Canis lupus familiaris: one gene and its partners. The protein of the gene in region 1 interacts with the protein of each later gene in a pairwise test. Links are inferred from orthologs where the notes say so. Each region holds a gene or a part of one and is shown in the gene's direction. Other genes may lie near its edges.

Region 1 (5,713 bases):
AATCCCCTCTCAAGTGATTCGCTAAATCCTACACAAGAATGATGTACACTCTTGCTCAATATTAAGAAGCTCTCATGCAACGCTGAAGACATATATTGTTCTTTCAAAGGACTCTGGGGGGTGTAAGGATCATATGTATTCCCAGGACATTCAGAAGGATATTCAGGCAAAGGAGTGTGATTCTTGTTCTGTTACTTGTTACTATTGTGGCCTCTCTGAAGAGCAGAAGGAGTGGTAATGAAATCGGCAGACCCCAGAAATCGGCCTTCTGGGTCCTGGGGTCCTCGATGTGGCTGGGTCAGTGGCCACGCGGGCTCCTAGCTACCTCCTTCCCTTGCCACACTGTCTAAGCCAGACTTGTTACCACCGTTTCTGACCTCAAAGCTCAGGACAGGGCTGAGATTCCCCAGCCATTACCATACTATCTTGCTCCCAGTGGCTACCTGGGTCTGGAATTAAGAACCAACCACTGGGAAATCACTCTGAATGCCACGAGTCTGAATATGAAATACCAGCACCACCAGAGGCTGCTCCGGGAAGGAGGTTTGCTGGGCTCCCGTCTGCCTCCTCCACTCCACCTTGGCTTGGGTTTTGTCTCCTCTTTTTGTGTTCCTGGTAAATCCAATTATATATTTATCTCCATTACTGTAGGCCACCTCAGCACTTTCTTGGGAATTAGGTTGTTTGGAGTGGGCAGAGCAGCACATACATACCTTTGCTGTCAGAGGATCAGGGTTAAGCTCATTTTCATTTCTGTGATATCTCGAAAGATCACAGAGTATTTTCTTAGTGCCTGGGCAGAGAGTCAGGAAGGAGCTGGAAGGTGAAGCACCACACTGCAGCCAGGGGTGATGCTTGAGCAACGAGGCCGGGCCTCGCTTTACATGTTTCTCATTGTACTTTATTTTCTTAATTGCCTTAATGGGCATGCGGTGTACTGCAAAATGAAGTGACATTGTTTTCCTTGTTTGCTGTAATTCACAGAGAGCCGGTTTGATCATGAAACCCAGGGACTTTTCAATTCCATTGATCTTGGGGCGGAGAGAAGGGATTCTTTTCAAGCATTCATTTTGAAGGATGTGCTCAGCAATGAATTCAAAGCCTATAAAGGGGAAAAAAAAACCCATGTTTCTTCACCATCGTGTTTCACAATAGCTATTAGATGACCACACCATCATCAAAGCCGTGGAAAATGTGTTTGCGGAGGGGGGTGGGGGTGAGTGGGGTGTCGGGGCTTCATGAGTAGCACTTGGCCAAGGAGACCGAGTCGGACACCCCATCCAGAGGCTGAAGGGGATGCTTGGACCTGGGAGGGTCCAGGCTTCGTTCAGGCTCGCATGATCCGGGAAGATGTGCAGGGGGGCCCGGCTCTGGGTTGCCTGGCATCGACTGTGAGTTCCCAGCAGCGGCCTGGCGTCCCGGTCTCTAGTGGGACGTGAGCAGCCACACACACGCGGTGGCGGGCTCGGACAGTGGGGTCTGGGCGCCCCGGAGAGCCGAGAGGCCTTTGGCACGGACAAGGGGGTGGCTCCCCAGCAGCAGCGGGGAGCGGGGAGGGGGGGACAGCCGGAGCCCAGGCCTGGCCAGGGCGCCCCCCTGCAGGTCCAGCTGCAGACCCGCCCGCGGCCCCGCCCCTCCCCGCCCCCCCGGCCCCTCCCACCCCGCCGCCCGGGGGCGCCCGCGCGCACCGCGACCCACCCGACCCCGCGCTGCAGGGGCTCCCGCGCTGCAGAGGCTCCCGCGCCCGTGCCCCGGGGCGCCATGGGCGAGCTCCCGTTCTTCAGGGCGCACGCGGCCTTGCACCCGGACCACCTGTGGATCTGGGAGACGTCCGTGTACGTGGACGAGAACCAGCGCACCTGGCTGCCCGTAACCATCGAGGTACAGCCGCCCCGGGGCGGGCCGGGCGCGCGGCGTGGGCATCCGGGGTGGGACCACCTGCCCCGACTCCCAGGGGCGGGCGGGGGGGTGGGGGGCAGCGGAGCCTGCTTCACCCGGAACGCAGCGGTGCAGACGCCGAATTAGGAACAAAGATAAAAAAAAAATATTATGGTAGCTCTGCAGGATGTGAGAGGCCTGGAATCCCAGGTCCCCACCACCGTGTCTCTTGGCATTTAAATCTCTGGTTAGGGCACAGGACACCAAGACCACAAAGTGGAGGTTTTTGCATTGTCCTCATAGATCCTGCGTGAAACATACCCCTAGCCCAATGTGGGGCAGGCTTTGTGTCCATGTGATTGAAAGGGCCTGTTTTCTTAATATGTAAAGTTTTTTTTTTTTTAATTTTTATTTATTTATGATAGTAACAGAGGGAGAGAGAGAGAGAGGCAGAGACACAGGCAGAGGGAGAAGCAGGCTCCATGCACCGAGAGCCCGACATGGGATTCGATCCGGGGTCCCCAGGATCGCGCCCTGGGCCAAAGGCAGGCGCCAAACCGCGGCGCCACCCAGGGATCCCTGTAAAGTTTTTTTTTAAGATTTTATTTATTTATTCACAAAAGACAGAGAGAGAGAGGCAGAGGGAGAAGCAGGCTCCATGCAGGGAGCCCTACATGGGACTCGATTCCGGGACTCCAGGATCACACCCTGGGCTGCAGGCCGTGCTAAACCGCTGAGCCACCGGGGCTGCCCTTAATATGTAAAGATTGACTTAAAACCAATAAGAAGGGATCCCTGGGTGGCTCAGCGGTTTAGCACCTGCCTTTGGCCCGGGGCGCGATCCTGGAGTCCCGGAATCGAATCCCACGTCGGGCTCCCGGTGCATGAAGCCTGCTTCTCCCTCTGCCTGTGTCTCTGCCTCTCTCTCTCTCTCTGTGTGACTATCATAAATAAATTTAAAAAAAAAATAAAAAAAAATAAGAAAAAAATGAACACGCAGACTAAAAGTGGTCTAGAGGCTCTAGAAAACTATAAACGAACACAGCAAGAATGGTGATTTCCACTCATATCTTGCAGGATGATCTGAATTATTTAACAATTCTAATTTATCTCATAGATGGGAAATTAAAAACAAAAAACAAATTAAAAACAAAAAACAAAAAATGATTTCCACTTTGGAAAAGTAGTTCTTGAGCAGACACGAATGCCTAGTTTATAGACCCAGCCTGCTTTCCAGGCTATGAGGTTTTGTGGGGAATGTGATAAAATCCTGCTACTCAGCAAGCTGATGCTTGCTGAGGGGTGCAGAACAATAAAATAATTGAAGCTGGTGGTAAGTTGTGTAAGGATGAGAGGCAGTAACGAGTGGCGTGGGGTCTACAGGCAAGACCCCGTCAGAGAATTAATTTGCATTTGTTTGTCATGCTTTTGTCCAATCATTTTATTTGAAACCTTTGTAAGTCTCACTTTTAGATATGCGGGCCTCATGTGTATTTCATAGAGCTGGATTTTGCAGAAATTTGTCCCTGTAGATAAAAAGTTGTGCAGAAACCTATCTAAGGAAGGGTGTGAGCCGCGTGTAGATCTCAGCGAGAATGTTCCAGGCAGAGGACCACAGATGCAAGAGATTACTGGGGATGTGGCATGTCCTGGAAAGAGCAAGAAGGCCTTTGTGGGAGGTGGAGGAACAGGGTGGGAGGTGGAGGACTGAAGAGATGAGGGAGGCACGGGCCCACATTAGTGGGTCTGTGGACCATGGTAAAGGCTGCAGTTTCTTCTGCCCACAATGAGAAGCCACTGGAGGGTGTCAAACAGGAGGTGACATGATTTTTAGACGCACACCCTGGCTGCTGTGCTGTGAGCTGATCGTGGGGCACATGACCAACGAGGTGGCAGGTTAGCTTACTGCAGTAGAGGGGCACTGGTGGAGATGGGGAAAAGTGGTCTCTCACCTGATTGTGGGTGCTGGGGAAATTTGTTTCAATGGGGCATTTGTGGGCACCTGGCTGGCTCAGTCGGTGGGGCAAGCGACTCCTGATCTCAGGGTTGTGGGTTCAAGCCCCGTGTTGGGTGTAGAGATTACTTAAAAAAAATTTTTTTTTAATGAATAAATAAAAGGGGCTGGGCTCTGTGACAAAATAAAGAAGAATCAAAGAAACTGCAGCTAAGGAAGCTCAGGGACGAATGTTCAGTTTGTCAGGAAGACGTGGGCCTGGTGTGGCCCCGTCTGGGTGTCTAGACTCATGTAAGTGCCGGTCATCTCCGCCTGGCCCGATGCCTGAGAGGGGCATGCATGGCGCAAGGGGTGAAGTTGCTGGGAAGAGTGATCGCCAGCATTTCAGATGTCAGCTGGGCCGTGAGGGTGGCAGGAAGGACCCTGGGTATTTGGGTGCTGGGGAGCCTGGGCCCTGAAGGCATGCCCTGGTCTTCCCTTCCCTTCAGACGGAGAGCAGCCTCCAGGTACTCATGCGTCAGGAAGATGTCCCCCTAGGGGAGGCCATGTGCCCCAGCCTGCTAGCCCCATGCCTGCTGCCTTCCATGTGGCAGCTCTACCCTGGAAGAAGATACCGAGGCTCAGACTCCAGTTTCTGGCGCATAGTGTACCACATTGAGGCAAGTGTGTCCTCCTCCTGGACACCGTCGAGTCATCTTGGGTGGGCCTGTCCTGTCCTCCTCGCCTCCCCCAGGCCCCCATGTCTGGCCTCTGAGGTCAATCCATTCCCTCCATCTCTCACCAAAAGCTAAACAAGTAGGAGTTTACAACTGCAGGTTTTTCAAGGATTGGACTGGGGAGACATCAGAAGACATTGACTGGGCCACCTTCTGAGGTCTCAGCCACAGGGAGGCCTCTCGGATGGGCAGTCAGGGGGTGAAGGCTGGTGGGAGGAGGGGCTCCTCGAATCCCCCGCCCCCAGGCAGGTTCCTGCCTGCTGCTCCGAGCTCCTGGAAGGCCCGGGAGGCAGGAATAGAAGGATGGAAGGAGACTTCCTAGGGCCCGGGCCTCTCACCCGCTTCTCCCGTGCAGCTCAGTGGCATGGAGGACATGCTCCTGGAGCAGCTGCCAGACCTGGAGGATGAGTGACCAGGTGAGTACCTTCGGGGCCCAGCACCTGTTGGTCCAGAGTGCCCAGGTCGGGATGAAGGACCACCCTTCTCGCATGAAGGCAGTGCTGACTCCCACCCCGACGGAACTGTCCTCTGAGGGTCTCAGGGTCCCTGCTCTCCCCATTACCACACTGGGGGCTAGTCAGTTGTCCGCGGCCCCCTTCCCCGCAGGGGTGCACGTCTGTACAGCGCCTCTCACGTTATGGGTGCTCCCACTTGATCATCACCTCGACTGAGCTGGGAATTACTCGATTTCCTAGGTTACAAAAACGAGCCTCGAGGAAGCACCATAACTGGGGCAGGTCACAGAGCCGGGTTCCCAATCCCAGTGCGCTGACACCAGGCCTCTCGCTCTCTTGGTCATCTGCCCTGGCTCAGACGCAGGGGCTCAGCCCTGGGGGCCCAGGCCGACCCCCAAGCTCCCCGTCCAGACTCCCCCCAGCAGCTCCGCTCGCACCCACCCTCCACCCCGGCCCTCGCCCGTGCCACATCCTCCCCTTTGCCTTTGACTCTGTCTTCTCTTAGCCCAGGTCCCGCGCTCCTGTCTCCTCCTGCATCCCCCGAGGCCACGTCCTGCTGGCCCGCAGAGGGGATGTTCGTGCTTGCGGTCACCTTCGTTTACCAGCTGTGCGTGTCCTGTTCCAGTACTTCCCCAGTCCGGGGGGGATTGGGGGGCCGAGGATGAGCCCTACACAGGGCCTGCTGGACCTGCCTGTGGCCCCCCAGTCTC
Region 2 (5,252 bases), on another chromosome or scaffold:
CTTTCTCCCCAGTGGTTGTAAGCTTCAGGGAAATAGTCCACATCCTTTCATCATGATCCTCTCAGTGCCTAACACTAAACCAGGCACAGTGTTGGTGGTAGTAAATATTTTCTAAGTTATGGTGGACCAGCAGCCAAGTTCTCACATCTCCATGGCCTTTTCATAAAGTCTACCCAAATCCTATGGCTCATAGTTATCCCTGATTGAGTCCAAGAATGATAAGAAGCAAAAGGAAGCCCCCTGTGCAACAGCTTTGAAGAAGTAAGATTCTTTCCTTGATCATTACTAGCTCTTATTGAGCTCATCAACCTATCGTGTTATTTCAGAGGCTTCCGTCCTGCTTCTCCTCCTACTTCCACCCACAGTGTGTTTAGAAAGCACCTCATGGTGGACTGAACCCAGCCAAAAACCAGGAAATCATTATACTAAGAGGCTCCAGAAGGAACCAGTACTCAAAGGCTGCTGGGTAGATTTCCACAACCTGTGCTCATTTACATGGAAAAATAGAATCTCACTGTTCTTCCAGAACTATTTCATCAACTGTCCACTGCCACCTCATGACTGAGTTTTAGCTGCATTGATACTTAATATGGACATTTTGACAGGCCATCCATTATTCACTCAACTCACATATATTAAGTATTTACTATGTGCCAAAAATTATTCTAGACGATAATAATTCACTAAGGGTATTAAGACAGACCTCATAGCCCAGCAGGAAAGATAAACAACAAACAAATAAATTTCACTATTTCCATTAATTGTAATAAATATCACCATGAAGTTTACCTAGGTATTATAAAAAAGTAGAACAAGGGGATTCAACCTAGGGAAATAAAATTTTGAGGCTGAAATATAGAAGATGACAAGATGGCTGAGATATACTTAGGGAGCAAGGGGGTAAGGGGAACACTTATGATAGCCCCTAGATACGAAGAAGACTGACATAACACAAAGGCATCTCCAAACTCTATTCAGAGAATTTACTATATGGTAGCAAGAAAGAAATATCCTTCTAGCTAACTAGTATGTGTGTGTGGAGGGGGGCAGTTATTGAAAGGAAAACAAAAGAATCTCAAAGTAGCCAATAGGAGGAATAGGTGGTCTCTATGAGAATTGGAAAACCAATAAAAGAGTTTCTTTCTGTGACTCTAAATAACTTCTTTTCTCTTCTTCCCTTCATCCTGCCTTCCCATTTTTTCTTCCTCCCTCTGCTAGTCTCTACCTCTATCCTTTCTCTACCTCTATCCTTTCTCTACCTCTTTCTCTTCTTTGTCAAATGTCTTATTCTTTCACCTATTCCAATATGGCAGCTACCCATGAGTCTACATGATCTTGCTATTTCACTCCACTGCTAATTACAATCTCAATACCTCTCCGTTCATTTGCCTGAAAGAGTAAATCTGGTTGATCATTGGCCACTGAATTGAATTAGTTGGTTGACTGGGGTCAGATGTCCATGTACTACACATCTTTTTTTTTTTTTTTTTGCCACCCAGAATTGGCAAACCAACTCATGTCCCATGTGATCCAGGTGGAATTCTACCCTTACCCACTTGGATGAAGGATATAACTCATACCTAAGCAACTCAACATAACATGTCACCAGCCATAAAAGGTGGCTCAGGTTATGTACATAAGTCAGACTTTGGGTGAGAACTTTGAGATAAAAGACATTACAAGAGGAGATATTCACCGTCCTTTAGATAACATGATGTCATATGATAAGGTAGAGATCTCTAGCAACCTTTTTGTGACATTAAGGGGAGCCAGAGTGAGCATGGGGCTAGCCCAAAGGAACCCAAACCAAGATTTGGAGGAAAAATTCAGTTGTGGTGGTATCATCTGAGTCCTGATTCCAGCCTCGCTGGAAACTGGTCCACCCCAGGACATTTCAAACCAATAAATTCCCTTCATTGTTTAAATCAGTTCCAAGTTAGATTTTTCTATCACTTACAAAAAAAAAAAGAAAAAAAAAAAAGCCAAACTGATATGGCTTGCCCCTCACCTGATCAGTACGGGCCAAGGCTAAGGAGGGCAAGTTCATGTTTCAAGTGAGAAATGATTCTTGAAAAGGTGATCAATTCAGAGCCTATTCAAGGCAGTCGGGCAACTTAGAGGTTTAAAGAAGCAAATAGCATGACTAAAGCATGTTACTATTACAACCTGAACTCATAAGCAAGGAAGGAAAAAATAGAGGTCAGTTCTGAATTGCTTTATCTTCTTTTCTAAAGAATTTTAATCATGTTTTTCATCACTTCATTAATTTTTTTCAATTTTTCTTGAAAACAGTAACTATTCTTTCTACTATTCCTTTTAGAAATAGCTACAGGCTATGTTTGAAACATCTCAAATGAGCTCCTCTTGAATTATTCATGTGAGAAAATCTCTACGTATCCAGAAATAGGGTGTCTTTCTGTCTCCAAACTTAAAAACAACTGATTGCATTTTGCTAAAAAGAAAAACCATTTCAACTGAAACCAGATTTTAAAAAAATATCACCCCATTTTTCTTTCCACAAATCAAATTTGCTGGAGAAAATGGGGGGGGGGGGCGGTGATTGCACTACAATAAAACATTTGACTCTTTCTTACTATAGGTTTATGTATATATCTCTTACCTGTCAGAGATTGTAAATAACCAGAAGGCAGTCAGCCATCTACTCAACTAAATTGAACATTTTTCTAGCACAATGCCACAATATCTGAGCCAATTTCACTAATGGTAGATATTATTATAACTCTGGGCTGTAAGGTGAAAACCTTCTGTATAAATCAGGTCTCTATTTACTCCTCTGTTCATACTTTTCTTTTTCTTGATAAGGAGCGCAAATTTCCCAAGTTTGTATCCAAAGAAATGGAAAACATGTACATTGAGGAGCTGAAGTCATCAGTCAACCTTCTCATGGCCAATTTGGAGAGCATGCCAGTGTCCAAAGGCGGCGAGTTCAAGCTTCAGAAACTCAAACGCAGCCACAACGCTTCTATCATCGACATGGGCGAGGAGAGTGAGAACCAGCTCTCCAAGTCAGACGTCGTGCTGTCTTTCTCCCTGGAGGTAAAAAGCCCTAAACCCTTGAAAGTTTCCTGCCACAGCCCACAGGATTTGGGTGATTAGATCAGCTTGCTTTCCTCCTTGCACCCCAGGAGCAGTTATTAAAATAACAGCTTGCTAAGCATAGGTCAACTAATCAGCAAGTGATTCCCCATCTCCCATGCTTTCCTTAAGGAAATGCAGTCTTAAGAATCACCTCCTAAATTTAATCTTGCATTATTTTCCATCTTAAAGTAGCGCTCAAGGATATTGTGAAGACCTTATACAATTTAGAAAGTTTAAAATTTTGGCATCCTGTGTCACAGTTATGAGGGGAAATATCTAGCATCATTTGGTGCATTGTAGATTTTCTTTCTTGTCATCTCTCCTGTTGGCTACATGATAGAGGTCCTCTTGTTGCAGTGGAGCCTTTTCAGTTGACTTCATCACTCAAAGAAAGAACCGGTTCAGACTGGACTGTGGCAGAATGCTCCACATGTCAATAAATTTCTTTATAACTTCTATTCACACGTTTGCCTTTCATACGTATAATTTAGGGAGTGGATCTGATCTGGCTATGTTGGAATTGCCCGGGAAGCTGGTTCAGTGTGCAGATTCCTGACATCACCCAGACCTATTGATTCAAATCTTAACGGGGGTGGGGGAGTACAACATGGTCCAGTCACTTTGGAGAAGAGTTTGTTAGTTTCTCAAAAAGTTAAACATAAAATTACCAGGTGTAGAGTACAACTTTACTCTTAGATATCTACCCAAGAGAAATGAAAACACATTTGCCCATAAAATCTTGCTCCCAAAATGTTTATAGCAGCATTATTCTTACTAGCCAAAAATAGAAACAACCTAAATATGTATCCAAGGGTAAATAGACAAAATGCAGTACATCCATACAAGGGGTTACTACTTAGCAATTGATAGAAACAAACTACAGATGTATGCTTTGATTTAGATAAGTCAAAAACATTCTGCTTAGTGAAAGAAGCCAGACACAAGAGACACATGTTGTTTGATTCCATTGATATAAAATATCTAGAAGACGCGAGTCTTCAGAAACAGAAGTTAGATTAGTGTTGCCTGGGGCAGAAGGTAGAAACGGACATTAGGGACATTACTGGGGGAGATAAAAAATGTTCTAAAACTAATTTATAATGATAGTCATTCAACTTAGTAAAGTTACTAAAATCATTGCATTGTACACTTGAAATGGGTTAATTATAAGATATGTAAAATATGCTTCAATGAGGTAAAAAAAAAAAAAAAAAAAGAACCTCTGGGTGGAGTTTACCATGAAATTACCATTACCATTACCATTTTAATGAGCCACCCAGGTGCTTCTTATGCCCTCCAAAGTTGAGAACCATTCACAACTTATTAAAGCTCAGAACCCCACAAGGATTTTATGATAGACCTAGATTTGGGGAGACCAAGAGAATAGATCAAATTTCTGTAGATTTAATTAGGATTTGTAAAGACTAAATTAATTTTCTAGAACATCATTAAGGCTTGCTGTGAATTAACTGCAGATAATTTGTTTTACTGTGCTTAGTTCGGATCAAGATAGTCATAGTGTTTTCAACATGTATTTTGCAATTGGAAGTGGCAGTATTCAGTTAAATATAGAGCACTTGGTGTGTGAAAAAATCATCAGTGTAATTTCACAGAAACTTCCTTTCTTTCTTTTTTAATACCGCCACCTGAGGTACTGAGTGCTTTTTTCTTAGGTGTCTTTGAATTTGATTATTGCCAATTAGAGGTGGCAATTTATTCCCTATTGCCTCTTGTCTTTCTACAGAAAGTGGGAAAAAAGTGGTTTATTGATTTTCATGAAGTTTTTAAATCTATAATTTCCTAATTCTTTATCACTACTCAATATTATACAGCTGATTATCTGAAATATAGATGTGAGTGAGTCCCCAACCATACTCCCATGTGTACATGATTCAAACAGGCTTTAACTTGCAAGCATAAGCACAGAATGAAATGCCCTCGGGTTCCCAAATACTCTTTACTTGGAACACTAAATTGCACATATACTAAAACTGTCAGCAAACTCATTGTGCATCTGTATGTTGGGTGCGACAGTGAGGGTGGCAAGAAGAGGGAGATAGAGGACCATCATCTCATCAGGGCAGACCGGGTTTGAATTTGCAGGTTAGTACAAGACAGGTTTCATGTACTTACAGAATTGCATGGCTACAAAG
Region 3 (5,252 bases), on another chromosome or scaffold:
GGCGTGCCTCCCCAGCCTGGGCGCCTACCTCCCTGTACCTGCCAGGGAGGCCCTGCCAGTGGGTACGAGGTGGTGGTCTGCCAGACTCACGCTTTAGGGATGGGGGTGCAGAGGCCAGAACAAGGCCACAGTGGGGGGGGGGGTATTCTCAGATGCCGCCAGTCCCTGAAGCGCCTCCACATCTTCCCTCACACTTATCAGGGTGACTTGGACAGAGAAAGCCTAGGTCACCTGCTGAGGGAGTGGCTGCAGGGTCTAGAGAAGGCCGGGAGGGCTGCCCTGGCTGAGCTGGTGCCCCGGTCAGAGCACCAGCGCAGAGGAGGGAGGGCCAGGGCGGGTGAGGCTTCACACCTACCTGTCCTGGACTCCCCTGGGCCCAGCATGCAACTGTCCCTGCCAGCTGCTCTCCCACCAATCGCAGCGGTGGCCGCCACCATGTCAGACTATGAGAACGAAGACCAGTGCTGGAGTACCCTGGAGAGCTTCCGAGTGAAGCTCATCTCCGTCATCGACCCCTCGCGCATCACGCCCTACCTGAGGCAATGCAAGGTGCTGAACCCCGATGATGAGGAGCAGGTGCTCAGTGACCCCAACCTGGTCATCCGCAAGCGGAAAGTGGGTCAGTGCTGCCTCAGCCGGGAGCTTTGAGCACAGGAATGGGCGCTCCCCAGCACCCCACACCCTGTCCTGTCTGCTGGGAGCCGTGGTGCTTCCATGCACAGCAGACACCCCTGGGAGGGCAAGGGTGCGTGGGCAGCAGGTAGATCTTGACCTGGGCTGGGCCTATAGGAGCTCAGTGCACAAGCCCAGCCAGCCCCAGCCTGGCCCTGTGGGTTTCAGGAGTGCTCCTGGACATCCTGCAGCGGACCGGTCACAAGGGCTATGTGGCCTTCCTTGAGAGCCTGGAGCTGTACTACCCCCAGCTCTACAAGAAGGTCACGGGCAAGGAGCCCACCCGCGTCTTCTCCATGATCATCGGTGAGGCAGGGGGCCCCATGGGCAGGCTGGATGGCTGAGCTCCTGATGGATAAACTGGGGGCAAAAGGAAGTGTGAGGGTTGCATGGGAGTGCCAACAGCGGGGCCCCATGCTGCGCCTTCTCTCTGGTGGAGAAAAGGAGGACCCATGCAAGGAGGGCACAGAACCCCTCCATCTGACCCCACCAAAGCCCTGGCTCCCGGAAGGACTGGGTGCCCACCAGCCCTTATAACAGGAGAAGGGAGGGTAGGTACCTGGCCTCATTGCTGCTGTCCTGGAGGGCGGGAAGACAGTGGGGATGTTAAGTCAGGAGGTCAGCCCGCTTCCTCCATGGGGAGCATCAGCGCCGGGCCCTGTGTGCCTCGGAGTGGGTCCTCAAGGCTGAGGCCCAGGAAGGGGTGCAGTACGGAAGGGGATCCTCTGATGCGGCCTGGCCATCTGCAGACGCATCCGGGGAGTCAGGCCTGACGCAGCTGCTGATGAGCGAGGTGCTGAAGCTGCAGAGGAAGGTACAGGATCTGAGCCAGCTGCTCAGCTCCAAGGACGACCTCATCAAGGAGCTGCGGGTGAAGGACAGCCTGCTTCGCAAGCACCAGGAGCGCGTGCAGCGGCTCAAGGAGGAGTGCGAAGCTGGCAGCCACGAGCTCAAGCGCTGCAAGGACGAGAACTATGACCTGGCCATGCGCTTGGCCCGCCAGATTGAGGAGAAGGGGGCTGCGCTCATGCGCAGCCGCGACCTGCAGCTGGAGGTGTCCTGGCACCTGAGGCCGGGTTGGGGGTGGAGAGGTGCGGGGCGAGGCTGGCGGCTGATGGTGTCTCCTCACAGATTGAGCGGCTCAAGCACAGCCTCATGAAGGCAGAAGACGACTGCAGGGTGGAGCGCAGGCACACGCTGAAGCTCAGGCATGCCATGGAGCAGCGGCCCAGCCAGGAGCTGCTGTGGGAGCTGCAGCAGGAGAAGACGTTGTTGCAGGCCCGCGTACAGGAGCTGGAGGCCACAGTGCAGGTGAGGGGAGCCCAGGGCAGGAGCGGGGGGGCCTCGCGTGGGTGGGGCGGGCCCAGGGCAGGGGCCAGAGGTGGGTTCCTGTGCGAATGGGATAAGCACTTTTGGGAGCTGGAGAGATCTGGCAGGATGCTGGTGCCAAGAGCAGGGCCCCCTCGAGTCTAGCTGCCTTCCTGCCACTCTCCCCTTCACCACCCACAGGAGGGGAAACCAGACAGGAGCAGCCCCTACATCCAGGTGCTGGAGGAGGACTGGCGGCAGGCACTGCGCGGCCAGCAGGAGCAAGCCAGTACCATCCTCTCTCTGCGCAAGGACCTGCGGCAGGGGGAGGCCCTGCGTGCCCGGGTACGCAGCTGGGGCCGGTGGACATGAGCCTGGGCCAAGCCAGGCTGGGTGGGCTGAGGGACCACCCTGTGTTCACGCAGCCCCTGGGATCCACAGCCCTGCCTCACCCCTTCCTGGAGGTGCGGGGCCTTGGCCTCCCACCCCACTCCTGGCCTGCACTCCTACAGGATGGGCAGGCCCGGGCTTTGGGTTGGCAGGGACCCAGAGACTCAAGCAGCCTCCCTGTCAGCGGGGCCTGAGCAGGGGCCAGAATGGGCGGTGGGGGCTAGCTGCTGGCTCCCGTAGTGCATGGAGGAGAAGGAGATGTTCGAGCTGCAGTGCCTAGCCCTACGGAAGGACTCCAAGATGTACAAGGACCGCATCGAGGCCATCCTGCAGCAGATGGAGGAGGTTGCCATCGAGAGGGACCAGGTAGGCACCTCGCCGCTTCCTGCCTCATGCTGGCGAGGAGCAGCCCAGGGTGAGGGCACAGGTGGGGTGGGGGGATTCCCACAACTGTGGTGCCTTGCCCTTTTGCAGGAGGGCTGTCATCAGCTCTTGAAAAAACGTGAACAATCGTGAGGGTAACTCCTTCCCGTCCCCTGCCACCCCAGCCCACTGCCAGAAAAACTGCCCTGCTGGCAGGTCGTGCCTTCAGATTCTTTCTAGTGCACATACAGTTTCATTTTTGTCTTACAAAAATGGGAGCCGTCTTGTTTGGCAAACAGCATTTTGGGTTTCTGGTTTTGTTTTTTTTTTAAGATGTATTTATTTATTTGAGATGGAGAGGTGGCGGGGGGGGAGCACATGCACATGGTGGGGAGGGTCAAAGGGAAAGGGAACCTCAAGCAGACTCCCCGCTGAGTGGGGCTCAATCTCACAACCCTGAGATCACAACCTGAGCAGAAATTTTTAAAAAGATTTTATTTATTTATCTGATAGAGAAACAGAGCAAGAGAGGGGAGGAGAGGGAGGAGCAGGCTCCCTGCCGAGCAAGGAGCTCAACACGGGGCTCCATTCCAGGACCCCAGGATCATGACCCGAGCTGAAGGCAGACACTCCACTGACAGAGCCACCCAAGCACCCTTAAAATAGCTTTTTTGACTTAAAAAACTCTTGGGTGGGACACCTAGGTGGCTCAACAGTTGAGGGCTCCCTGCAGGGAGTCTGCTTCTCCCTCTGCTTGTCTCTGCCCCTCTTTCTGTGTCTTTCATGAATAAATAAATAAAATATTTAAAAAACAAAACAAAACAACAAAAAACCCCAAACCCTTGTCACTTTGGCTGGCTGTGCTCCTGGGAACTGGAGGCAGAAGCGGCCTCTTTCTCGTCAGCACCAGGGTTTTTCTGATCAGTGTCAGTCGGTGCTTTGGCAACACTCTGGAGGGACTGGAAGCCTGCTCAGAGCCTCTAGCCTTGCAGTTACCCATCTGAATGCCTCTGGTGGGGATGACGGTGTGCAGAGAAAGCACGGTGCTAGGGTCGTGGTGCCAGGGTGTGGTGCCTGGTCCCTGTTGCCAGGGAGCTGCCTGGAGGCCACAGGCAGGGAAGAGCAGGGAAGCAGTGCTCCCACCTTCCCTGGGGGAGGCAGAAGAAGGGAGGGTGCTGTGCCACCAAAGGCAGGCTGCCAGCCAGGGATGCTGGGGCCCAGCAGCCCAGGTGAACGGGTAGGCTTCTCTTCGGGTGTCCCTGGTGGGCAACAGGAAAGGAAGGCAATTCTCAGTGATTCCTCAAGTTCTGGCCATTGAGGGCCGAGGGCTCTAGGGCTGGGTTGGCCTCCAGGCAGGGGCCGGCTGCTTGCAGCTGCCACCCTGCTCCAGGCCTGGGCACGTAGGCAGCTGGCTGACTCCGGCTATGGGTCAGAGCTGCGTCAGGTGTGCTCTGGTCAGTGTGCCGTGTCCCCCAGAGGGACAGCCGTGATGAAGGATGTAACACAGCTGCCAACAGCCATATTCCTGATCCCACCGCTAAGTGCCGTGGAGGGTAGAAGCACGGGCTGGATGTGCGGTGGGGTGGAGGGCTCGGAGATCAGAGCTGGAGGTTTCATCTCCACCTCCCATTGGAAGCTGTTATTACTACACAAACCCTCAAGCACTACACAGGCAGAGGGAGAAGCAGACTCCCTGCAGGAAGCTCTCAACTGTTGTGCTGAGAGGCGGGGGTGGTCCTGGGGGTCTCCAGCAACCACCCAGCCCACCCTGAGCCATCCTGTCCACACAGGCCATTGCCACACGGGAGGAGCTGCATGCACAGCACTCGCGGAGCCTGCAGGAGAAGGACACGTTGCGGAAGCAGGTCCGGGAGCTGGCAGAGAAGGCAGACGAGCTGCAGCTGCAACTGTTCCAGCGCGAGGGCCAGCTGCTAGCTCTGGAGGGCAGGCTCAAGCGGCAGCAGCTGGACATGCTCGTGCTGGTGGGCCTCCCAAGGGCTGTGGGCCTTTGTAGCGCCCGCTGGTCAGAGATGCAGCCACAGTAGAACACAGGATAGGCCCTCAGATGCCAGCGTGTCCCCGAGACACCAGAGCCCAGAGGCAGGGACGCTGGTCAGCCCAGGGCCAGGCCTGGCTTGGAGATTGCTCCACGGGGGGGCCTGGGCAGGTCCCAAGCCTTTCCCAGGCCCCCCTCTCCTTCTGGGGAGCCTGGGGGTGTGGCACATCTCAGGGCCTGGCAGGCCACTTTGGGTGTCATGAGGAGGAGGGAGGGGTGTTCTGGCCTGGGACCCCTCGCTGTGCCCCACCTTATGCCGACCCTGGGGGTGGCTGGGTTTCCTGTTTGCTGACTGACTCCTCTCTGTGACCACAGAGCTCTGACCTGGATGACAGCTCACCCAGGAACTCTCAGGAGGTGAGTACGCCCCCCAGGGTGGGCTCCAGGCCACAGTCTCTGCCAGACCACTGTCCCCCCAGTCCCCTTTGGGAGCTGGGCCCCAGCTGGCCCGCCTCCTGGTCCT
Region 4 (5,211 bases), on another chromosome or scaffold:
AGCCAAGATTTGAACTCTTTTCACCCTTAATTCGATGTTCTTGCTAGCGACCTCTGATGACTTCCAACAATCCTACCTTCAGCAACCAAATCATAAACACAATCCATTTTAAAATGACAATCCAAGAAAAAGCTATAATTTAATTTACGTTTTCTGCTAATAAAAAAATGAAAGAGAATGGGCCCTATGGCAGCCGTGGACTTAATACAGCACATGGCCACTTTTCCTTCAAGAGCACGCCTGTCTTATCAGCTGGCAAAAATTCAAGGGAGCTGTTTTCAAGCTTTTGTTACACAATTGCCTGTGTGTGCCATATGTATCTGCAGTCCTCCTGGCTCAGACATAGCCCATGAAGTAGGCCCTCTAGCCAAACGAATTGCCCAACCCTGGCTAAATTCAGACCTGTTGTTTTGATAATCAGCTCCTGACAGCTGATTTCTGTCCCAAGGACAATACACTTCTGCGGCCCATTCTCCTCTAATTGTGCAGCAGCTCATCAGCAGAGATGAGCCGAGGCTCGCCGCAGCCTCGCACCCTCAGAATTCACAGGCTGTCACCAGCTGCCGTCCAGACACATCTCACTTCCCAGCCGTAGAATCCCCTATTGAGTGGGGAGGGCAAGGGGGAGGTGTTTATCCATTCAGGGTATTCAGCTGTACATCCCATGTCCATGAAAATTCATGTGTTCCGTATTGTGTTGCATAACCTCAAGGCCAGATTTAGTCCTTGAATGTGCATGCACAAGGCCAAATGTACTCAGTGAGCAGCCCCATACGCGCTCCAAAGGCCGAACGTAGCTTTCAACACAGTTCAAGGATTGCAAGAGGAAATATTCATCACTAAACCCGGCTTCAGAGAGAAGCACCTGTCTAAAAAATGTAACCAACTCTGCTTCCTACTTTGACTCCATCTGATGGCAATTCTAATTATGATGCATTATTAATAAGGAGTACAATCATCTGTCTGGATGAAAAATCTATCATGCTGCCCAAATGCGCTCAACTGAATCTGTCTGTCCTCTTTGCAAAGGATGTTGTTGGAACTGGGAAAACCATGAAAGTGCTACTCAGTAGCATAAAGAAATACAAGCCCAACATGATTAAGGTAGCCAGGTGAGTAGGACATTCACATCATTGTTGCTTCTGCATCTCCCCATAAGCCCGAGAAGGATGCTAACACAGGATGTTGTCTCCAAAGAGAGCAGTCTATTCCAAACCAGTGACCCCTTTGCCCTGGGGTGTTATGGCTTGACCACACTGAACAAATAGCCCATTTGACTGCTGGCCTGAGAGAGAGGAAGGGGAAGAGGACATGCTTTGCTAGGTGTCTGAGTCTCTCGCTACTGTGCCTCCATTAGCGGCTTCCAGGAGCAGCTGGCTGAGCCTGGTGCCAGAGTCTCTCTCCCTTCCTTTTATCTAGAATCACTGATGTGGTGCCACAGTAGCAGGAGGGTGAATTAGGGGACCGTGATGGTGCCCCACTTGCTCCAGGGGGAAAATACATATCTTAATGATGTTTAGTTCTATTTGCAATGCACAGAAGTTTTATCTGGATCACTAAGTGCTTTTTTCTTTGTTCTTTCTTTTTTTTCTTAATGGTAGTTTGTTAGTGAAGAGAACACCTAGAAGTGATGGCTTTAGACCCGACTGTAAGTGGTTTTGGCTTTTGTTGGTTGTTGGTTGGTTGGTTGGTTGGTTGGTTGGTTGGCTGGTGGTGTTGATTCATGTTGAAGACTCTCTGATTTCCTATTTGCCAGTATTCCATATGAAGCACAAGCTGTTAAGGTTTGATAGTCCCACAAATCTCTCAAGGTCTCCCCAGCCTTGCTGGGAGGATAGAGTCCTCTACAATAAGGGTTTTTAAATTTCCAGTTTGCGTTTTTCCCAGATACTCTGTCGTGTGCATTGGATATTTTCATTTTTGGGTTTTCCATAGTACCGTAAAGCTAAAAAACTGAGCTAATGGGTATCAGGGAGGTAGAGGGAGACTTGACCCCGCCAGACTGGCTGACATACAGGATCCCTGCCTTGTCCACTGTCCGTGTCAGACGGGCATGGGAGGGCATCATAAAGGGTTAGAAGGATTCGCATACTGCCTCCAGAAACCGTCACCAGACAATGCATAATGCTGACCTTCAGTAAGCCTGAATTTTAGCACACAGAAGGGGAAATCCGAGACACCTCTCCCATCACCTTCAAAGAAAAGTTCAGTAACACAGAGAATTGGCAGAACAAATATCTCCAGATACCATCTTCACACTTGACTTCGGACATATGTTCTGGAGGACTTTGCTCATCCAGGGCACTTTACTGATAATACAAATAGTTCCAAAGCCAGGAAGAATAAACAAGCAGCTTGATAATTTATTATTCTAACACTAGAGGCAACTTTTTTTCACTCATATAGGCAGACTTCAGCTTGATTTTTTATAACTTACATTTGCTCTAAATCCTCTGGGATAATTTGGCTACAGTTCCCATCAGCAAGCTGAAAAAACATCAGAGCAAGAGGAGTACACTATGGCCGAGTAATGTGCCAATGACATTTCGCCAGTGACTCTTTATTCTAAAACAAGTTTCATCTATGCTGGGTGTATTAAATCTAGACAACATCATTTCTGGGCACAGAGACCCAACAGCACGTTTCTGTCCAGTTACTGGCATGGGGAATATAATCTGGGTGCAGTAAAGTCAGGCAAAGTGAGGAAATAGAAATCTTCTAAGGAAATCACGTAAGATCCCATATAGATAAGATTTTAACTGAAGTTGAAAGAGTCACTTCAGACATAGCCAACTACTTACAGATGATTTGTGTCACTTACAGCAACGACATGAATAAAATAATAGGTAACACTGGTAAGAGGTTATGATGGGCCCTACACTCTTTAAAGAGCTACACAGAGATTAACACATTTACTCTTCACCACATTCATCCAAGGTAGATGCTACTGATATACCCATTTTGCAGGTGAGGAAATTGAACACAGCAAGATTCAATGGCTTTTGAAGGTCACATTGCTGTAAGCGTAGCATCAGTACTGGACCCAGGCAGTCTGGTTCTGATCACTGCCCTTGCTCTTGCATGACATCTATAAGTAACACCGCAGTTGCAAATAGAAGTGTAGGAACTGCATCCATTTACCAACTAGACGTAGGTCACTCTGATTCCTAACCATTCCCCTGTCCAGCATCCTTCTTCTACTCCATGACGGCTCTGAAGGTTTGGCCTTCTGAATTGGCTTTTCTCAGTCTGAGGTGCCATGCCTACTGTAGGGATTGATTGCTCCATTTACTGTAGAGTCATTATTGTGGTAACAGCCTGGGTTCTCTGGGATTTACTGATATCCTTTTAGCTGGGTCAGAATCTCTGTTTCGTTTCCATGGATTTCTGAGGCTTGATACTTTTGATTCCTTTCTCATAATTGACTCTTTCCCATATGTTCAATGGCATCTTTTATATGCGCTGACATCTTTTCTTCTGCTCTTGCTTCTCTTCTTTGATTATATTTCTCAAAGCAACCTACAGTTTGGAGGGACAAAGGAGGGTCTTTATCAGTAATATGTAATGCAACCCCTCTAGAAAGTAAGTGTCTCACCTCCAGCACTTTCTGCAAGCAGGAATCAGTTGCCTTCTCCATGTGAAAGCATCTTTGGTCATAGGGATCAAAATGGTGGTGAGTAGTTCACCAGAGGGATAACTTTCTCCATGCTCTAAGTCCACTGGCTATGCCAAAGTACAGTTTCATGAAAGTAAGCAAGAATATTTCTCATCTGCAATGTTGTAATAAACAGATTCAAAATAACTAGAGTTTGAAAAACCACTGGACCATAGGCACATTTATTCTGTTTCAAGACCTCTGAAGGAGAGCTATTCTCTGTTCCTACTATCTTTTCCATAAAAATTATCTTCCTTACAATAAATTTTCCTTTATTTAACCTAAGTACCTCATACTGCATTTAAATCCATTTATTTCCATTCTTCCCTGAATAGAGATAGAGAGCTAATTAATATCATCTGCCTCCTTGATTCAAAGACTAGTGTTGGAATAACCCTTAGTGTTCTCTTCCTCACACTAAACAATCCCACTTCCTTTCATCTTGTCTCCCAGGTTTTGCTTCTCTGCCCTTTATCCAGCTGAGGACTCTGAGCACAGTGGGAGAACCACTTCCTGGCGGCAAAAGCCTGTGCACCTAGTCACCTACCAGAGGACTGGAATACCTTCTGTCTGAACTGAACTTTATGCTCCAAAGTGTTTCCTTTGGCATTATATCATTGGATACTGCTTGCTTTGGAACAGCGGGACTATATGACTAACTCATAGATATTTCTTGTTATCCCCTGGGCTATCTGAGCCCTCTCTTAGCTCCGTGTGGTAGGAGTACAGCCATTCTTCCTTGTATGTTTGCTTGTCTATCTTGTCTTCCTGCCTCGTCACTCTGGTCCAGGTCCTATTGGGCTCATCCTATGCATTACTTATCATTTTTCTCACTTCTGCCTAAATGAAAGGTCCTCACAGTGTAAGTGCCAACTATAACATATGATGGCTTTCTCCTTATGTTATCTATATGTTATTCCTTTTTTTTCTCTCTCTCTCTCCCTACTCAGATGTTGGATTTGAGATTCCGAACTTATTTGTCGTGGGTTATGCCTTAGATTACAATGAATACTTCAGAGATCTGAATGTAAGTCATGCATGCAAATCCCTAGCCTTCTTTTCACAAATAACAGTTATATGAATTTAACAAATTATTGAAATAGTAGTAATGATGGCTGCCACTGATTAGGTATGTTCTGCATCAGAAATATTCCGGACACTCTGCATTCATAATCCCAATTACAGCTGTATACAATTCTAACTATTCGCCTTATGAATAAGAAATGGTTTCTTTAAAAAAAAAAAAAGAAAAGAAAAGGATTTTATTTTATTTATTCATGAGAGACACACACACACAGAGAGACAGAGACAAAGGCAGAGGGAGAAGCAGGCTCCCTACAAGGAGCCTGATGCAGGACTCGATCCCAAGACCCAGGGATCATGCCCTGAGCCGAAGGCAGACGTTCAACTGCTGAGCCACCTAGGCGTTCCAAAATGGTTTCAACATATATAGATGGACCCCCAGTTTATACCCCCAGCTGTGTGACTTCAAACAATGTTGAATGATCTAGAGATAGATAGCCTACCCAAAATAGACCAATCATGCATGTGAGTGT
Region 5 (5,252 bases), on another chromosome or scaffold:
GCCTTCTGTTCCATAGTAACCACACTTCATTTTGAGCCATTTCTTGACTCTTTCCCTAAGTGATTTATTTATTTATTTATTTATTTATTTATTTATTTATTTATTTATTTATTTATTTTATTTTTTTTTTTTTAAATTTTTATTTATTTATGATAGTTACAGAGAGAGAGAGAGGCAGAGACACAGGCAGAGGGAGAAGCAGGCTCCATGCACCGGGAGCCTGATGTGGGATTCGATCCCGGGGCTCCAGGATCGCGCCCTGGGCCAAAGGCAGGCGCCAAACCGCTGCGCCACCCAGGGATCCCCCTAAGTTATTTAGAATCATCTTCAAACATAGGGAACTCATTCTCCTATTTTATAATGGGTCTGGGGAGAGAGATTGGCATTGTCCTTTCCCTAGTATAGTTTATAATCCATTACTCCTCTAGGCTTTTTGAGCAATCTCTTCTCAGATATGTGGTTCACCCATATCTGCCTGTGTATTTCTTGATTGCTGTAATTTATTGAAACTTCCTTGTATTCATTAGGAACTTCGGCACATGACCTGTAATTTTCTTACCCCTCCAAGTTCTGCCACTATCTTAGGCCTTTCCATGTGAATAACTTCATAGTCACCTTATCTTTTTTGGCCCCTTCCTTCTGTTGATGACTTTTATATTTTACTTCAGCCATGCGCATCAGTAATGAAGACCTGACATCTGCTAGAACCTATCCACTATTTCTTTTCCCTCTCTCCCTTACTATCACAATGCCCATTCTTTGATAATTTTTTTTTTATTTTTTTTTTTATTTTTTTTTGATAATTTTATAAAGACCTCTGCTTCATTGCTTTTTCTTATCCCCCTAGTTGATTACTCCGTAGATCATAATCACCTCAGGGATATAGACTCCCTAAGAACGGAATGAAAGCTTAGGTACCCTTCTCCAGAATGCACATAGATATAGAAAAAATTTACATACAATTCCAGGAGTTTCTCGATGTCTTTAAGCACATCCATGTAACTACTAAGAATTCTTGGATCCCTCAGTAAATCCCTTCTCTAAATAAATACTTGTTGAATGTTTCTTTGGTTTTCTTTAATATTGTTCCATCAATTGTCCTTTCTTTCTTATCCTTTCTTTTGATTTACAAAACAGTTTAACATTTGTTACCTTTTAAATTCACCTAATAGTTTTCTTGTGAATTAAGTTGTTTACCAAGTTTGACTCTCCTAAAAACTTTTTATTGTGGAAAATTTCAAATGTGTATGAGAAAGGAAAGTACAAGGAATCCTGTATACGTATCACCTAACTTTATTGGTTATCAGCCCAGAGCAATCTTTTCCTCTATATTTCTCCTCTCTTGCATCCCTACCTTTGGTGATCACTTTGAAACAATTTCTAGCTATCATATAATTTCATGTGACATATTTTAGTATATGTTTCTAAAAGATAAGCATTCTTATTATAAACTTGATTATAATACTATTATCATGGCTTCAACAATAGCAGTAATTCCTTAATATCAAATATCAAATCAGTGTTCTAATTTCCTTATTATTTCATAAATGTTTCCTCCTCATTGGTTTGTTGACATCCAGAGCTAAACAAGATGCATGCATTATATTTGATTAGTATGTCTCTGAAGTCTCTTTTTATCTCCATCTTTCTCTGTCCCTGGAAGTTTATTTTTTGAAGAAACCAGTTTTATTTTTCTTTAGTTTTTGTTATTTGCTTTCTTCATCTCTGATGTGTTATCTAGCATGCTCATCTATGTCACATGTTTCTTATAACTTGGTAGAGTTTGGTAGGCTTGATCTGATTCAGGATTAATTTTTGACTTCGTAGGTCAAAATTTTTGACCTTCATAGGTACTCCATAGGTGGTATGGCACTTTCACCAGGAGATACTATAGTCCAATTGGCTTTCTTTATGATGTTAGCACCCTTTGTTGACTATTGCTTTGATCCACTACTTAATTAGGTGTTTAAAAAGTGGTGACAGTCTCATTCTGTTCTCCCATTTTCATCTGTAATTTGGAGAACTTCTACAAAAGGCCAAGTTTGAATTTTAAAGCTGTTTTTTTTAATAATTTTCCAGAATGGCTTCCTTTGGATGGAAGAGGAAAATTGGTGAGAAGGTCTCGAAGGTCACTTCCAAGCAATTTGAAGCTGAAGCTGCCGATGAGAAGGATGTAGCTGAGAATGAAGAAGGAAACTGGCTTCATGCCATTAAACGTAGGAAAGAAATTCTCCTTGAGGGCTGTGCTGAGAAAAGTAAGCAGCTGAAGGATGAAGGAGCTAGTTTGGCTGAAAATAAAAGGTATGTTTTTAGAGTTTTCTTATGGAGAACAGTTTACATTGCTGTCAGTAAGGAGACAAAGAGTTAAGAATCTGTAAATTCATGTTTTAAACATCTGATCTGGGTGCTAAATTAATCAGATAAATAAAAGTTTTAAAGACACCTTTAAACATTTTCATGGAATCGGAAAGTTTGTAGAAGAGTCTTTAAGATGCTTGGAATGTCTGCTTTGCTGTCATTTTTGTCCTGTCTGAAGAAGAGTAAACGCTAAGTAAAATGTAATCCAAGTTATTGGTTGGTAGGAGATAGTTTAATTTCTGGAAACTTTGTCCTCGTGTTCTTATATATACCAGACTAATTAGATGTTTCCTGAAGGACTTTGATGGCATGTATTTTTTTTTAAGAGGTGTTCAGTTATCCTTTTCCATTGGCTTTTGTATACTTCAATAAATGCAGGTGCACAGGAATTTGATAGTAGTTTCATTTATCCTCAGCCCTTCCTCAGCTAAGCTCTTATACGTTTCCTAATCACCCTTCACTGTTTTCCATTTTCCTTTTTTTTGTACTTTCTTGTTCCTTTTCCCCTGTCTCTGGGTAGGTCTTTCAGTGGGACCAAAAATCATTCTTTCACAAATCAATGGGGTCTGGACCCATTAGTTCATAGATTCTATAGAGAGAGCTGGAATTCTCTATATAGGCAAAGAAAATGATCTGTACCTGATACCACATACAAAGATGGACTCTACAGAGCTAAAAAACATCTCAGTGTGAAATGTAAAACTACACAGTGAATGAAAGAAAATATGGAAGGATATCTTTATAACCTAGAGGTAGAGAAAGACATTTTTATTTTCAAAAATTTCAAATCAATATTAGGGTTGAAAGAACAGTTTAGCCCTTGTATTCTTTCTATCTAGATTCAAAAATTACTAATAGTTGCTTTATCTATTTCAGTGCAACATATACATACATTGACGTATGTAATTGTAAATTTACAATTTGTGATCTGTTTCAAAGTATGTTGTAGACATAATGACATCTCTTTCCTAATTTAGCCTGCTTTTTATAAGAATGAAAATATTTGGAGGCATCTGGCTAGCTCAGTCAGTGAAGCATACCCCTCTTGATCTCTAGGTTGTGAGTTCAAGCCCATGTTAGGCAGGAAGGCTACTTAAAAGAATAAAGATACCTCTTACTAAACACTAATATGCAGTCCATTTTTAGATTTTTCTAATTTTCACTGAAATGTCTCTTACAGTTTTTTTTTTTTTAAACCAGGATCCAATCAGAACTCATACATTTCATTTGGTTATTATATCTCTTTAGCGTTTACTTAGGTCCCCTACTTTATCATTGGCATTTTTGAAGAGTCTAGACCAGTTTTCTATTTGATTGATCCCTTATGGATGTCATTTAACTGGTTCCCCTATCTCATGCATTTCTTCTAAACTGAAGTGTGGAGATTTGATTTAGATTCCGATTAACTTTTTGACAAGAATACTTAATAATCAATCTTGCACTTTCTATTGTATCATATTGAGAGGAAATAACATCAGGTTGTTGTCAATGGAGCCATTTGAAAGATCTCATGCCTATGTTTTCTGTGTTTAATATCTGCTGAAAGTCATATTTTAATAAAAATCTTGAAACATTTATCCTTGGTGAAGGAAATATATTAGAGAATTATACTGGACAGCCTGGGTGGCTCAGCGGTTTAGCGCTGCTTTCAGCCCAGGGTGTGATCCTGGAGAACTGGGATCAAGTCCCGCATAGGGCTCCCTGCATGGAGCCTGCTTCTCCTTCTGCCTTTGTCTCTGCCTCTGTGTGTGTGTGTGTGTGTTTCTCATGAATAAATAAATAAATAATTTTAAAAAATAATAAAAAAAAGAATTATACTGATCATCACGAGGAGTGGTTTTTTTTTTGTTTTTGTTTTTTTTTTTGCATTAAGGATGATTTTGAGAAGCTATATGTATGGTCAGCAGGAGTAATATCTGAATAGGTCTGTGTTTAGGACAGAACACTCTTCAGCTCACCTAGAGATCTAAAATCAGGCCTGTGTGCTTTTGACTAGTATCTTCTATGTGGTAATAAAACATTTGAGAAATTAAAAGTAGTACTGAACAAAAAGCTATTTTTTTTTCCTTCTTCCTTAATTAAAATTGGTCAGGGTGGTTATAAGATTCCTTGTCAGTCATTTTAGTCATGAATGAGTCAGAGTTGAGGAAGCAACATTTTAGTTTCTAGGTCTGTTCTTATTTTTGATTCTTGGAGTAATCTTTTATTAATATATTTTAATATAAAACATCAAACGGTGCCTAAACTATAGTATATTAGCACCTCAAATTGGAAAACAATTATGGAAAACAAATATCAATCAAGCGCAATTAACAGCCTAATCTTACATTGTGAATTCTACATGTGGTATTAGTTTTTTTGTAAAACTGTGCAAGATTGAGCATTCTGTCTTAGTCAGAAGAAAACCCACTATAAATTTTCCACATTTATGAAATCACTTTCAGAACATCCATAAAACATCTTTAGAAATTCCTGTAAATGCCTGTTAAAAGTTCATTAACTTTGTTTTTGCCTTTTTCTCTAGACCACACTAGTGTGCAGGAGGAAAAAGCAATTTGGTTATTACCATGGGAGTCCCTCTGAATTTCCTGTGGTACAAGAGAGATAGCAACTTTGTAGATAAACAAAATAACTCTTGTTTTCTGCCTGCATGTCAAAACATTGAGTCATTTCACCAAAATCAGCTGGGTTGGATGTTTTATTTTGAATGGAGAACACTGTGAAATGATGGAGTTTGTTGCTGGTCAGCATTTGTTTTGGAATAATATATACACAGCTTTAGAAGATAACTAAACAGAATAAAAGGAATCTAGTGGGTTGAACAGTTTGGCTACGCTGTGCCAAAACTAAATAGAAATATAGTTTAAAAAGGCCTAAGGTAATATTAAACTTGA

What was found. The genes of interacting proteins can lie anywhere in the genome.
Region 2: the proteins of TCL1A (region 1) and CADPS interact in a two-hybrid assay, tested with the Homo sapiens proteins (3 studies listed by BioGRID and IntAct). The two-hybrid records come from large-scale screens. The link is inferred for Canis lupus familiaris from reciprocal best matches to the Homo sapiens genes TCL1A and CADPS.
Region 3: the proteins of TCL1A (region 1) and CARD9 interact in binary tests that used the Homo sapiens proteins (3 or more experiments, as listed by UniProt). The two-hybrid records come from large-scale screens. The link is inferred for Canis lupus familiaris from reciprocal best matches to the Homo sapiens genes TCL1A and CARD9.
Region 4: the proteins of TCL1A (region 1) and PRTFDC1 interact in binary tests that used the Homo sapiens proteins (3 or more experiments, as listed by UniProt). The two-hybrid records come from large-scale screens. The link is inferred for Canis lupus familiaris from reciprocal best matches to the Homo sapiens genes TCL1A and PRTFDC1.
Region 5: the proteins of TCL1A (region 1) and TTC33 interact in binary tests that used the Homo sapiens proteins (3 or more experiments, as listed by UniProt). The two-hybrid records come from large-scale screens. The link is inferred for Canis lupus familiaris from reciprocal best matches to the Homo sapiens genes TCL1A and TTC33.

What each region holds. Positions count from the first base shown.
Region 1 is NC_049229.1:64,860,700-64,866,412, reverse strand, and holds the start of TCL1A (T-cell leukemia/lymphoma protein 1A), read left to right. Parts: upstream 1-1,761; coding exon 1,762-1,881; intron 1,882-4,320; coding exon 4,321-4,491; intron 4,492-4,903; coding exon 4,904-4,960; 3' UTR 4,961-4,964; intron 4,965-5,508; 3' UTR 5,509-5,713. UniProt on the Homo sapiens protein: Enhances the phosphorylation and activation of AKT1, AKT2 and AKT3. Promotes nuclear translocation of AKT1. Enhances cell proliferation, stabilizes mitochondrial membrane potential and promotes cell survival.
Region 2 is NC_049241.1:28,613,549-28,618,800, forward strand, and holds part of CADPS (calcium-dependent secretion activator 1), read left to right. Parts: intron 1-2,823; coding exon 2,824-3,057; intron 3,058-5,252.
Region 3 is NC_049230.1:49,112,485-49,117,736, forward strand, and holds part of CARD9 (caspase recruitment domain-containing protein 9), read left to right. Parts: intron 1-380; 5' UTR 381-381; coding exon 382-619; intron 620-840; coding exon 841-978; intron 979-1,421; coding exon 1,422-1,726; intron 1,727-1,803; coding exon 1,804-1,983; intron 1,984-2,181; coding exon 2,182-2,325; intron 2,326-2,610; coding exon 2,611-2,736; intron 2,737-4,523; coding exon 4,524-4,715; intron 4,716-5,104; coding exon 5,105-5,146; intron 5,147-5,252. UniProt on the Homo sapiens protein: Adapter protein that plays a key role in innate immune response against fungi by forming signaling complexes downstream of C-type lectin receptors.
Region 4 is NC_049223.1:6,451,746-6,456,956, forward strand, and holds part of PRTFDC1 (phosphoribosyltransferase domain-containing protein 1), read left to right. Parts: intron 1-1,029; coding exon 1,030-1,112; intron 1,113-1,601; coding exon 1,602-1,648; intron 1,649-4,605; coding exon 4,606-4,682; intron 4,683-5,211. UniProt on the Homo sapiens protein: Has low, barely detectable phosphoribosyltransferase activity (in vitro). Binds GMP, IMP and alpha-D-5-phosphoribosyl 1-pyrophosphate (PRPP). Is not expected to contribute to purine metabolism or GMP salvage.
Region 5 is NC_049225.1:69,538,890-69,544,141, forward strand, and holds part of TTC33 (tetratricopeptide repeat protein 33), read left to right. Parts: intron 1-2,079; 5' UTR 2,080-2,080; coding exon 2,081-2,301; intron 2,302-5,252.